Linked DNA regions of Xenopus tropicalis. The protein of the gene in region 1 purifies or fractionates together with the protein of each later gene. This does not show direct contact. Links are inferred from orthologs where the notes say so. Each region holds a gene or a part of one and is shown on either strand. Other genes may lie near its edges.

The links. The genes of interacting proteins can lie anywhere in the genome.
Region 2: the proteins of llgl2 (region 1) and rad18 purify together in Homo sapiens (affinity purification with mass spectrometry; 3 studies listed by BioGRID and IntAct, counting the BioPlex papers as one, with this or other methods). This does not show direct contact. The link is inferred for Xenopus tropicalis from reciprocal best matches to the Homo sapiens genes LLGL2 and RAD18.
Region 3: the proteins of llgl2 (region 1) and dcaf1 purify together in Homo sapiens (co-immunoprecipitation; 3 studies listed by BioGRID and IntAct, counting the BioPlex papers as one, with this or other methods). This does not show direct contact. The link is inferred for Xenopus tropicalis from reciprocal best matches to the Homo sapiens genes LLGL2 and DCAF1.

What each region holds. Positions count from the first base shown.
Region 1 is NC_030686.2:44,561,001-44,565,144, reverse strand, and holds the start of llgl2 (LLGL scribble cell polarity complex component 2), read right to left. Parts: upstream 2,840-4,144; 5' UTR 2,804-2,839; intron 1-2,803. UniProt on the Homo sapiens protein: Part of a complex with GPSM2/LGN, PRKCI/aPKC and PARD6B/Par-6, which may ensure the correct organization and orientation of bipolar spindles for normal cell division.
Region 2 is NC_030680.2:131,520,724-131,524,270, forward strand, and holds part of rad18 (E3 ubiquitin-protein ligase RAD18), read right to left. Parts: intron 531-3,547; coding exon 184-530; intron 1-183. UniProt on the Homo sapiens protein: E3 ubiquitin-protein ligase involved in postreplication repair of UV-damaged DNA. Postreplication repair functions in gap-filling of a daughter strand on replication of damaged DNA.
Region 3 is NC_030680.2:127,318,497-127,322,043, forward strand, and holds part of dcaf1 (DDB1- and CUL4-associated factor 1), read left to right. Parts: intron 1-488; coding exon 489-722; intron 723-1,733; coding exon 1,734-1,827; intron 1,828-3,050; coding exon 3,051-3,155; intron 3,156-3,241; coding exon 3,242-3,315; intron 3,316-3,547. UniProt on the Homo sapiens protein: Acts both as a substrate recognition component of E3 ubiquitin-protein ligase complexes and as an atypical serine/threonine-protein kinase, playing key roles in various processes such as cell cycle, telomerase regulation and histone modification.

The sequences.
Region 1 (4,144 bases):
GCAACCAGCACAGCAGTGTCCCCAAGGAAGGCTCAAAGCAACCAGCACAGCAGTGTCCCCAAGGAAGGCTCAAAGTAACCAGCACAGCAGTGTCCCAAGGAAGGCTCAAAGTAACCAGCACAGCAGTGTCCCCAAGGAAGGCTCAAAGTAACCAGCACAGCAGTGTCCCCGAGGAATGCTCAAAGCAACCAGCACAGCAGTGTCCCCGAGGAAGGCTCAAAGTAACCAGCACAGCAGTGTCCCCAAGGAAGGCTCAAAGTAACCAGCACAGCAGTGTCCCCAAGGACTCCCTTCCAGGGGCTGAACTAAAACGTTTGCTTTTGAGAGCAGGAAAGAACAGACGCCCGGCCTCCCACTTCAAAGGACAGTCAGCAGAACTGTGACATTTTAGCTCACAAATACATTTTACTGTAATGTCATGCACAGTTTGGGAGCCAATTTCTTCTTGCCGATATCCAGTATGCAACTGGTTGCTAGGGTTGAGCGATCTAAGCAACAGGGTATTTTTTTTGAATGTGAGAAAAGACTAAATCAGAAAGGGCAACTCCCGGTATCCCTGGGCAGGGAGGGACTGCAGGTGCCCCACAAGGGTAATTTTATTAATTTAGCCTTTAAAAGGGCATTCTACACGCAGGGCCAATATATGGAATATATGAACGCCCCCCGGCACGTTCCCACGTGGGGCAACTCATACACTGGCTGCCATATTGCATAGCACCCCCATTACCAACTCCCCCCCAGCCCCAGCAAGCAGCAGCCATAAGGGTGAAGACACACAGAGCTACTAGTAGCAGCTACTTGTCACAGCTACTAAAACAGACAGTGCTGATCATTTACTGATAATTGTCTCTGTGTGTGTTTAGCAGAGGGAATTCTCAGTATTGTCTAGCGTTAAGTAGCCATTAAAAAGTAGCTGCTACTAAGACTCTGTGCTTCTCTCAGCAGGGGAACACACTGAGCAGTGAGACAAAGGCGCTGCCCCACCACATAACATTTCCCACAGCGAGACACTCACATATCCTGGACACACAGTCACACCCACCCGGCACTCTCACACCTTCTGTATCACACACCCCACCCACTGCTGCCTCTGCCCCAACTACAACTCTCACTGCCCAACAGTCCTTGGAAGCAAATGAGGGACACAGGTTTGATAGCCGTGGGCAATAAGCCTGAAGCGCTCAACTGGTCCATTCACCGGCTTTGCAACCCTCATACAGAAAGTACCCGGCAATACCCCCAAGTACTCCTACAGTTCCATCAGCCTGTTCCCCTGCCCCCATTGGCACCTACATGCCCACACACCTGCCCCCATTGGCACCTACATGCCCACACACCTGCCCCCATTGGCACCTACATGCCCACACACCTGCCCCCATTGACACATGCCACCCATGCCCATGCCCACACACTGCCCCCATTGGCACCTACATGCCACACGCCCCATGGCACCTACATGCCACACACCTGCCCCCATTGGCACCTACATGCCCACACACCTGCCCCATTGGCACCTACATGCCCACAGCCCTTTGGCACCTACATGCCCACACACCTGCCCCATTTGGCACCTACATGCCCACACACCTGCCCCCATTGGCACCTACATGCCCACACCTACATGCCCACACACCTGCCCCCATTGGCACCTACATGCCCACACACCTGCCCCCATTGGCACCTACATGCCCACACACCTGCCCAATTGGCACCTACATGCCCACACACCTGCCCCACCCCACACCGCCCATTGGCACCTACATGCCACACACCTGCCCCCATTGGCACCTACATGCCCACACACCTGCCCCATTGGCACCTACATGCCCACACACCCCCCACCTACATGCCACACACCTGCCCCATGGCACCTACATGCCCACACACCTGCCCCTTGGCACCTACATGCCCACACACCTGCCCCCATTGGCACCTACATGCCCACACACCTGCCCCACACCTACATGCCCACACACCTGCCCCATTGGCACCTACATGCCACACACCTGCCCCTTGGCACTTGCCCCCATTGACACCTACATGCCCACACACCTGCCCCCATTGGCACCTACATGCCCACAACTGCCCCCATTGGCCCCACATGCCCACACACCTGCCCCCATTGGCACCTACATGCCCACACACCTGCCCCCATTGGCACCTACATGCCACCACCTGCCCACTGCCCACACACCTGCCCCCATTGGCACCTACATGCCCACACACCTGCCCCATTGGCACCTACATGCCCACACACCTGCCCCATTGGCACCTACATGCCCACACACCTGCCCCATTGGCACCTACATGCCACACACCTGCCCCCATTGGCACCTACATGCCCCACACCTACCCCCATTGGCACCTACATGCCCACACACCTGCCCCCATTGGCACCTATATGCCCACACACCTGCCCCCATTGGCACCTACATGCCCACACACCTGCCCCCATTGGCACCTACATGCCACACACCTGCCCCCATTGGCACCTACATGCCCACACACCTGCCCCATTGGCACCTACATGCCCACACACCTGCCCCCATTGGCACCTACATGCCCACACACCTGCCCCCATTGGCACCTACATGCCCACACACCTGCCCCCATTGGCACCTACATGCCCACACACCTTCCCCCACTGACACCTACATGCCCACACACCTGCCCCCATTGGCACCTACATGCCCACACACCTGCCCCCATTGGCACCTACATGCCCACACACCTGCCCCCATTGGCACCTACATGCCCACACACCTGCCCCCATTGGCACCTACATGCCCACACACCAGCTCACCTGTAGGCCCATACAGGTACCACATACACAGAACAAGCCCCCCACACACCTACAGGCCCAGCCACCTGGCAGCCATATCCTGTACACCTGTAGCCCCGCCCACCTGTAGGCATATGCACCTGTACCCACAAGCCTCTCTCAGCTCAGCCTATCGGGACACACTGTACATCCGCTGCCGGAGCCACCTCACTGCCCCCCAGGTGCACCTGCACACACCCCCCTGGCGGTAAGGGCAAACACTGCAAGGCAACGCCCCCTCCCCCGTACTGAGAGAGCCGTACAGCCCCAAGCCCGCACAGACCCGCCGCCCTGCCCTCACCTGAGCTATTGTGTCCGGTAATTCCCTGGCACCGAGTCCCACGGGAGGCACTAGGGCCGCAACTGCTTCCTGGTTCCTCCACAGGGGAGGGCCGGCTCATTTACTATGCCTGACGCCTTGGAAACGACTGACAAATCAGCGCTGAGCCCTGAGCAAACAGGCCCCGCCTACACTGCCACGTGACAAACCAGCTGCCAAACCACGCCCTCTTCATGAATAATATATAACCCGCCGCAGCGTTCCGCCCCTGATCGCTCCGCATACCTGGCACACCTGTGTTGCACATAGACCCGCCCGTAACATTCCGCGCTAGGATTAAATAGTCCCTGACTGTGAGACGGATATGGGATAGCGGCTAGAGTGGCATATACACTGTATGTATGTGTTACTGGCTCTTTTTTTATTAAACGTACATAGTGATTTCTTCCACTTGGTATATGGTGTCACTTTATATGGGCACAGAACCCCTCAGTGACTGCTAATATCCTTATCATTTACAGTAGGGGGTACATTATCCCTTATAATACATGAGTGATACTCAGAGTTCCCTGTATAACTCAGCCTGCAGCCTTGTGCCTTTATATGGGGGGCACAGAACCCCTCAGTGACTGCTAATATCCTTATCATTTACAGTAGGGGGTACATTATCCCTTATAATACATGAGTGATACTCAGAGTTCCCTGTATAACTCAGCCTGCAGCCTTGTGCCTTTATATGGGGGGCACAGAACCCCTCAGTGACTGCTAATATCCTTATCATTTACAGTAGGGGGTACATTATCCCTTATAATACATGAGTGATACTCAGAGTTCCCTGTATAACTCAGCCTGCAGCCTTGTGCCTTTATATGGGCACAGAACCCCTCAGTGGCTGTTAATATCCTTATCATTTACAGTAGGGGGTACATTATCCCTTATAATACATGAGTGATACTCAGAGTTCCCTGTATAACTCAGCCTGCAGCCTTGTGCCTTTATATGGGGGGCACAGAACCCCTCAGTGACTGCTAATATCCTTATCA
Region 2 (3,547 bases), on another chromosome or scaffold:
TATAAAATATATAATTAAATACATAAACAACTGTAAGCAAAAAAAAAAAAAATTAAGACTATTTGTAAAAACAGATTAATTCCAGATCCAATACAGTTTAATTATATATAAAAATCCAATATAGTTGCATTATATATAAAAATATAAAAAATATGGCAAATAGTTCGGACACTAGAGGCTTACCTCTAACTTTTGATGCAGAAGAGGGTGCAGCTAGAGCAGATGTGGAGGGTGAAAATGTACCAAACGTCTCTGTCATTACAGAACCTGCTTCTCCGGCTAAATCAATATTGGAGGTATTAGCAGAGGTATATGAAGAATCCTGGCTTAAAAAGGTTTCATCTTGTAAAGTGTTTGAATGAGTTCGGGGTGTTGAACAGTTGCCTTTTACCAGAAATCTATTCATTATTATGTTCTCTTGCTTTACTTGTTTACCAGTGCATCCCTGCATTTTTGCAATCTTGCTGGTGGAGGGGTTACTTTGTGGCGACATGGGAGGTGAATCCAAGACAACCTTTGAAAGATGCTGCCTAAAACATACAAGAAAAAAAGAGTTGTAATTTTATTTAAAACAGAGGAGACCTGCCCACATTGTAGTAGATATTTAATACAGTTCACAATTAGTCATTAATTTTGTGTATATTATATATATATATATATATATATATACACACACACACATACATATATGGGATCCATTATCCAGAAAGTATGGGATCCATTGTCCAGAAAGTTCTAAATTAAAGGAAGGCCATCTCCTATAGGCTCCATTATAATCATATAATTCAAACAAAACAGTATCTTTTACTTTATACCAGCTAAGACAGTGCCCTTTCTCAGGGACAGGACTTTTTTTAATAGAACTTTTGTCTTTTGGCACTAAGTCCCTGTGTGTGGAACCCTTTCTCTCTCTGTATATTACATTTTTTTTTTTTTATTTTTTTTTTTTATACATTTCTAACATTTTTTTTAAACTGAAACCAACACACTCTTGCTGACAGTAAATCTGTCAATTTCCTCTGTTCTAATTGGATAATTCCAGCAATAGTGAACAATAATAATAAGAAAACCTATTTGTGAAAAAGAAATAAAGCATGCAGTATATTTGGGTGCATGTTTATAACAATGACAAATCTTTAAAGGAAAACTATACCCCAAACAATGTAGGTCTCTAAAAAAATATATTGCATAAAACCTGCTTCATCTAAATAAACCATTTTCATAAAAATATACTTTTTTAGTAGTATGTGCTATTGGGTAATACTAAATAGAAAACTGCCATTTTAAGAATTAAAGAGATACTGACACCAGAAATGAAACCTTTTTTACATCTGTCATAATATTGTCTCTGCATGCTATTTATTATTTTGCCATAAAAGTATTTGTCCAAGCTTTTACATTCACTATCTGATCCCCCATGTTCCTCTATGAGGGGGCGGCCATATTTGTCCAGCAGGTGGCCATTAGCATTAGAAGCTGTAACTGACTGGCTGAGAAGGGACAGTCAGGCTGGCAAAACAGTCAGGTTTTGGGATTTCAAGTAACAATTTCTTACAAAAGCAAACCTATCAGCAAAAAATGATCAACACGACCTATAGGCAACTTTTTATGTAGATTCATAATTTAAAAAGTTGTTTTTTCGTGTCGGTATCACTTTAAGGCCGCCCCCTGGGATCATAGGATTCACAGTGCACACAAACAAGCCAAGGCACACATACATGCTAGGCCCCATCAGCCAATTAATGGGCAGAGTTCTGCCTTTTGCTCCCACACTACTTCCTGTCAGAGCTGCATTATTTCTGGTCATGTGATCTCTGAGGGAGCACACAGCCCATCACTAAGGGCCTTGACAGACGGGGAGATTAGTCACCCGCGACAAATCTCCCTTGTCCCAGGAAACTAATCTCCCCGAAATGCCATCCCACCGGCTAGAATGTAACTCACCGGTGGGATGGCATACGCGGCGCGGCGATTTGCCGAAATCGCTGAAGTTGCCTTGAGAGGAAACTTCGGCGATTTCGGCACCGCATATGCCATCCCACCGGAGATTTACATTCTAGTCAGTGGGATGGCATTTCGGGGAGATTTGTCACACGGCAACTAATCTCCCCGTCTACCACAGCCCTAAATGGCGACTCAAGGGAAAAGATGTAAAAGAGCTAAATTTACTGATATATATATATATATTCCAGTTTAGCAAAATTCTTTAATAGGTCACTTAACAAAATATAAACTGTTTATTAGGTATTTATTCTGGGGGTATAGTTTTCCTTTAACATATGCTGTTTTGCTTTAGAACAGGAAACATCAAAGCCTGTTTTGTGGTGTAAGTCTTATGGAATTGTTTTACCATCTGAAATGATTCAAGACTAAACCCATATCCATCCTCTGGATAACTACAGCCAGTCCAAAATATCAAATAAAAACAGCCAGGCCTCCCAGGTAGGTACTCAAAGGACAAGGTCAAGTAATAGAGGGAACAGTTGTGTGTTACAAACAAATAAGATGTGGCAGAAGACCTAATTTCACATGACTTTACATAATATTGAGTAAAGGAGTAGTAGTGCAGAAAGCCATATGTCTATATAAAATCTTCTAGCTAATCTTTTTGCTTCAGCTAGCCATACACGCACAGATATTGTTGTGAGGTACAAGGTTAAGTACCATTTTCAGGAAAACATTTTTGAAAGCAGAATATGCAATCCAAAGTTTTCCAGAACAAGGTTTTGGAAAAAATACCATTAAGCAGCCTTACCTCTAATAAAAACAGAAGATTCTGTTTCTCATCTCTAACTGTAGACATCAAATGGCACTGAATACTAATACACTTGCATATACTTGGCGTTTCCATCGGATCTAAATTTGTCCTCTTTCTAATGACATTAAATTATGAGATAAGACTGATCAATGTAATTTCAGTCGGCCATAACATCTGACCTCCACAGAACTTACTAATTATACCGAATCTGTACGGAATCTCTACGGAATCGCAGCTTTATTAATTAAAATATTTGTGCAGATCAAAGCATTTCCACACTACTGTATATGTATGTATAAGTGTGTGTTATTTCTGTTGCTGATGTTAATTTCCCAGAATGCAAGGCAGTAGCAGCAAGACAGAGATGGACATACAAGTGTGATATGCAGAACTGAGCTGCAGTTATTATATCAGGAAACCCTGCAATTACAGATACCCTACAGATCATATCCTTTCCTTTCAGTAGGGATGCACCAAACCTACTTTTTTTGGGTTTGGCCGAACCCACCCTGGCAGATTCTGCTGAATCCTGAACCAAATTCGAATTAACATATGCTAATTAGGATCGCTGCACGTGCGGCAAATTTTTTTTACCATGACCATTTAACCCTTTCCAAATACTAATTAGCATATGCTAATTCTTACTAATTAGGATTCAGACGAAACTGAATCCTTCAAAAAAAGCCTGGATTTGGCCCGAATCCCGAACCGAATCCGGGATTCGGTGTGCAGGGACCCATAAGATTTAGCGCTCCTATGGCTTTAATCCCCTACTAGTTCTTTCTATTA
Region 3 (3,547 bases), on another chromosome or scaffold:
AATGTTGTCTGTTTGAATATGCAATTTCAAGGGAGAAATTAACTAATGACCTTTTCAGTTTATGCAACTGGTTAGAGTACACAAGCAACCAATTAATTGGTCCAATAGGAAAAAAATAGGAAAAAGAGCAAAGCCTGGACATGATTATGTAAGCATCAAGGAAGTTTAAAATAGACTACTACCATACCTTCAGAAAACTGATCAGAAAGACAGAAAAAGGACTGATTTAACAGTATAAAATATTTTTTACTGTGGCCTTTTTTAATGGAAAACGGATTTTCTAACATGATGCGAGCATTGTTGATGGTTTAATAAGATTGGGACATTGAAGGTGAACAGCCCCTTTAACAACATGACGGCCATCCTAAATGCTAAGAGCTTGAGGGCGTGTTTAATGAAGCAGTCTTTTATGGAGGTTTTAAAGTTACCCCTACAGATAAAATACAGCATATGCTAGGTTTCTAACTTAATAATTATCCATCCTGCAGATTTATGATATTCAGACCGGGCAGAAGCTGCTGACTCTGTACAACTCAGATCTTGCAAATAACTACAAGCGCAACTGTGCTACCTTCAATCCTACTGACGACCTGGTGCTGAATGATGGAGTCTTGTGGGATGTGCGATCTGCCCAGGCCATACACAAATTTGACAAGTTCAACATGAACATAAGTGGTGTCTTCCACCCTAATGCCCTGGAAGTCATTGTGAACACAGAGATTGTATCCTATTAAATCATGAGAGCACAAGGAGTTTATTAGTCTTTAGAAATGAATGCGTTTAGTTTTCTTGGGTTGCTATTTTCTTACGGCTTTAAAGCTAATTAACAAATAACTGTGTGTAACACATAGAGCAGTTTGGCTATTGTCTTTTGAGGATAGGATTCACATTAACCATTTAATAATGCACATCCTGAACAAGGATTTTTCAAGTGCACCTAAAACTGATCTTAAATTGCAACTCTGGCAAAACTAGTAATGTGTGTTGCGAATAGTGTGCATCTATATTACTAATGTATTCTACAACATATTGTTAACATAACGCTGTTTAAAACATGCAGCCAAGTAAGTGAGCGAAGTGTTTGTGATTATATTTACCCTTAATGCTGAACTGCAGCTTTTGAGCCTGGAAACTATCCATTTGCAAAAAGTGGAGGGCTGCATGTTAAACATCCTTGCACCAGACTGATATCTTAAAGGACATGTCAACCCCAAAAATAATTTTTTGCTTAATAAATGAAAACATAATTCTAAGCAGTATGAATTTATTTAAAATTATTAGTGCTTTAAAAGTTATTTGTAAATGTAATTGCTGTAGAAAGCAGCATTTGCTAAATTCCTGGTTGTTACTTTTTAAACAATGTTGCAAGTACCAGGCTTCTCCAGCAATACAGGTCTGTCAGTCTGCCTCCTTGTGTTACATTGTTTCAAATGCCAGGGCAGAGAATAGAAAGGACAGACAAACACTGCTTTTAATAGCAGTTATATATACAAATAACTAAAAAAAACCATTACAAATATGTAATGAATGTATATTGCAAAGTTGCTTAGAATTAAGTGTTCGTTGTTTTTTTTTTTTTTAGGCAAAAGTTATTTTTGGGGTTGACACAATTGGGGTTGACACAAAACTTTAATTATTCAATCTTAAAAAATGGAATAACTGATGGGTGACATATGACCTACTATGAGATTTTTACACTCTGTTTAAAGCCCTTTTCCTTATATAATGCTCAGTGGGACCTTCGAACCTTTCACCTTTTGCATACTGTGCCGGCTCTGGACCAGTGTCGTGTTGTGTTCAATAACACTGGAACTGTTATGTATGGAGGTATGTATATTCTAATTAATGTATAGATGTTCCCTTTATATTTTGCAATGACACTTTAGAATACTGTCCATAATTAGTATCATTGATCCCCCAACCAGTGGCTCGGGGGCAACATATTGCTCACTAATCCCTTGGATGTTGCTCTCAGTGCCCCCAAACCAGGTAGTTATTTTTGAATTCCTGACTTGGGGGCAAGTTTTGGTTGAATAAAAACAAGATTTCCTACCAAATAAAGCCCCTGTAAGCTGATAGTGTGCATAGAGGCAGCCTAATAGCCAATCTTAGCCCTTATTTGGCACCTCCATGAACTTTTATGATGCTTGTGTTGCTCTCCATTTGACTGTGGCTCACACATAAGAAAGGTTGGGGATCCCTGATCTAGATTTTCGATAACCAAAGTAAATGGATCCTGGGGCTTAGTCTCTCTGCTTTCCAGAGAATCTTTGCACCACCCACTGTGGAAAGCAGAGGGACTCCAAGCCCCATCATTTATTACAGTAGAACAAGGTGAGGGAGGGGTTGCATTTATACTTTGACCACAAGACAATAAATAGAGAGCGAGACCAAGAAAGGTGATTGTGAGCGCTATGTCATCTGGGCCAGGAGTGAGCTCCTGGTGTAAGTGGTCATGTTGGCACACAAGCATGCCAATAAGGCTTAATGTCCAAATTGTTCATTATGTGCATGGATGTGACAAGATATGGGGGCCCACACCGGGTGCCCCCTCCGATGTAGGCAACAAAGCACACCCTACCACTGTTTTTGTGCAAAAGAAAATAGTACTGTTTGCACCACCAGAGATAAGTGCTAACAGGTTCTGCACTCCAGTTGGGGGGAAACAAATTAGCCCCGATAGGTGCCCTTTAAGGGCAGTGACAGACAGGGAGATTAGTTGCGCTGCGGCAAATCTTGACTGGGGTAATCTCCCAGTCTGTCACTGCCCTAAAGTCATGCTATATTGAAAAGTTACATTAGACCATCATTGTTGTGCTGCTAAAGGACTAGGGGAGTTATGCAATAAAAGACACTAAGTTTGCCCAGTAGCAATAACCATAGCAACCAATCAGGTAGACTTTATTAGTCATGTGTTTAAAAGAAAACATTTCATTGGTTGCCATTGGTTACTGCTACTTGGAAAACTTAGTGACTTTTATTACATATGGGTATAAGTAACACATTTATCTGTCAGTTATACAGATCCCCTTTTTTTCCTGATCTTTCAGCCATGCTTCAGGCAGATGATGAGGATGACCTACTAGAGGAAAGGATGAAGAGTCCATTTGGTTCTTCCTTCCGAACCTTTAATGCAACCGATTATAAACCAATAGGTGAGCCTTTATATCCACATGGTATTTTGTATTTAGTGGGATTTAGTCACTGTTTAAATAACTGCAAATGACTTTTGTCTCTGCAGCCACCATTGATGTAAAGCGCAATATATTTGATCTGTGCACAGACACAAAAGACTGCTATCTAGCTGTTATTGAGGTAACTAAAGACTAATTGTGCTGACTGACTGTGAATTAATATGCTTTTTTATACTTTTTATTTATCGTCTTTGGCTCCTGTTCTATTTTGAAATCCCAATCACCACCTAATTTCTAGAGCAAGTTACCCTGGCATACAGCAGTTTTAATTCTAATCAAGATAAATGCGGGACACAAACATTTGTAATTATGCAAAACCCTTAATAATGAAGAGCAGCTCTAGGTTTATTTTG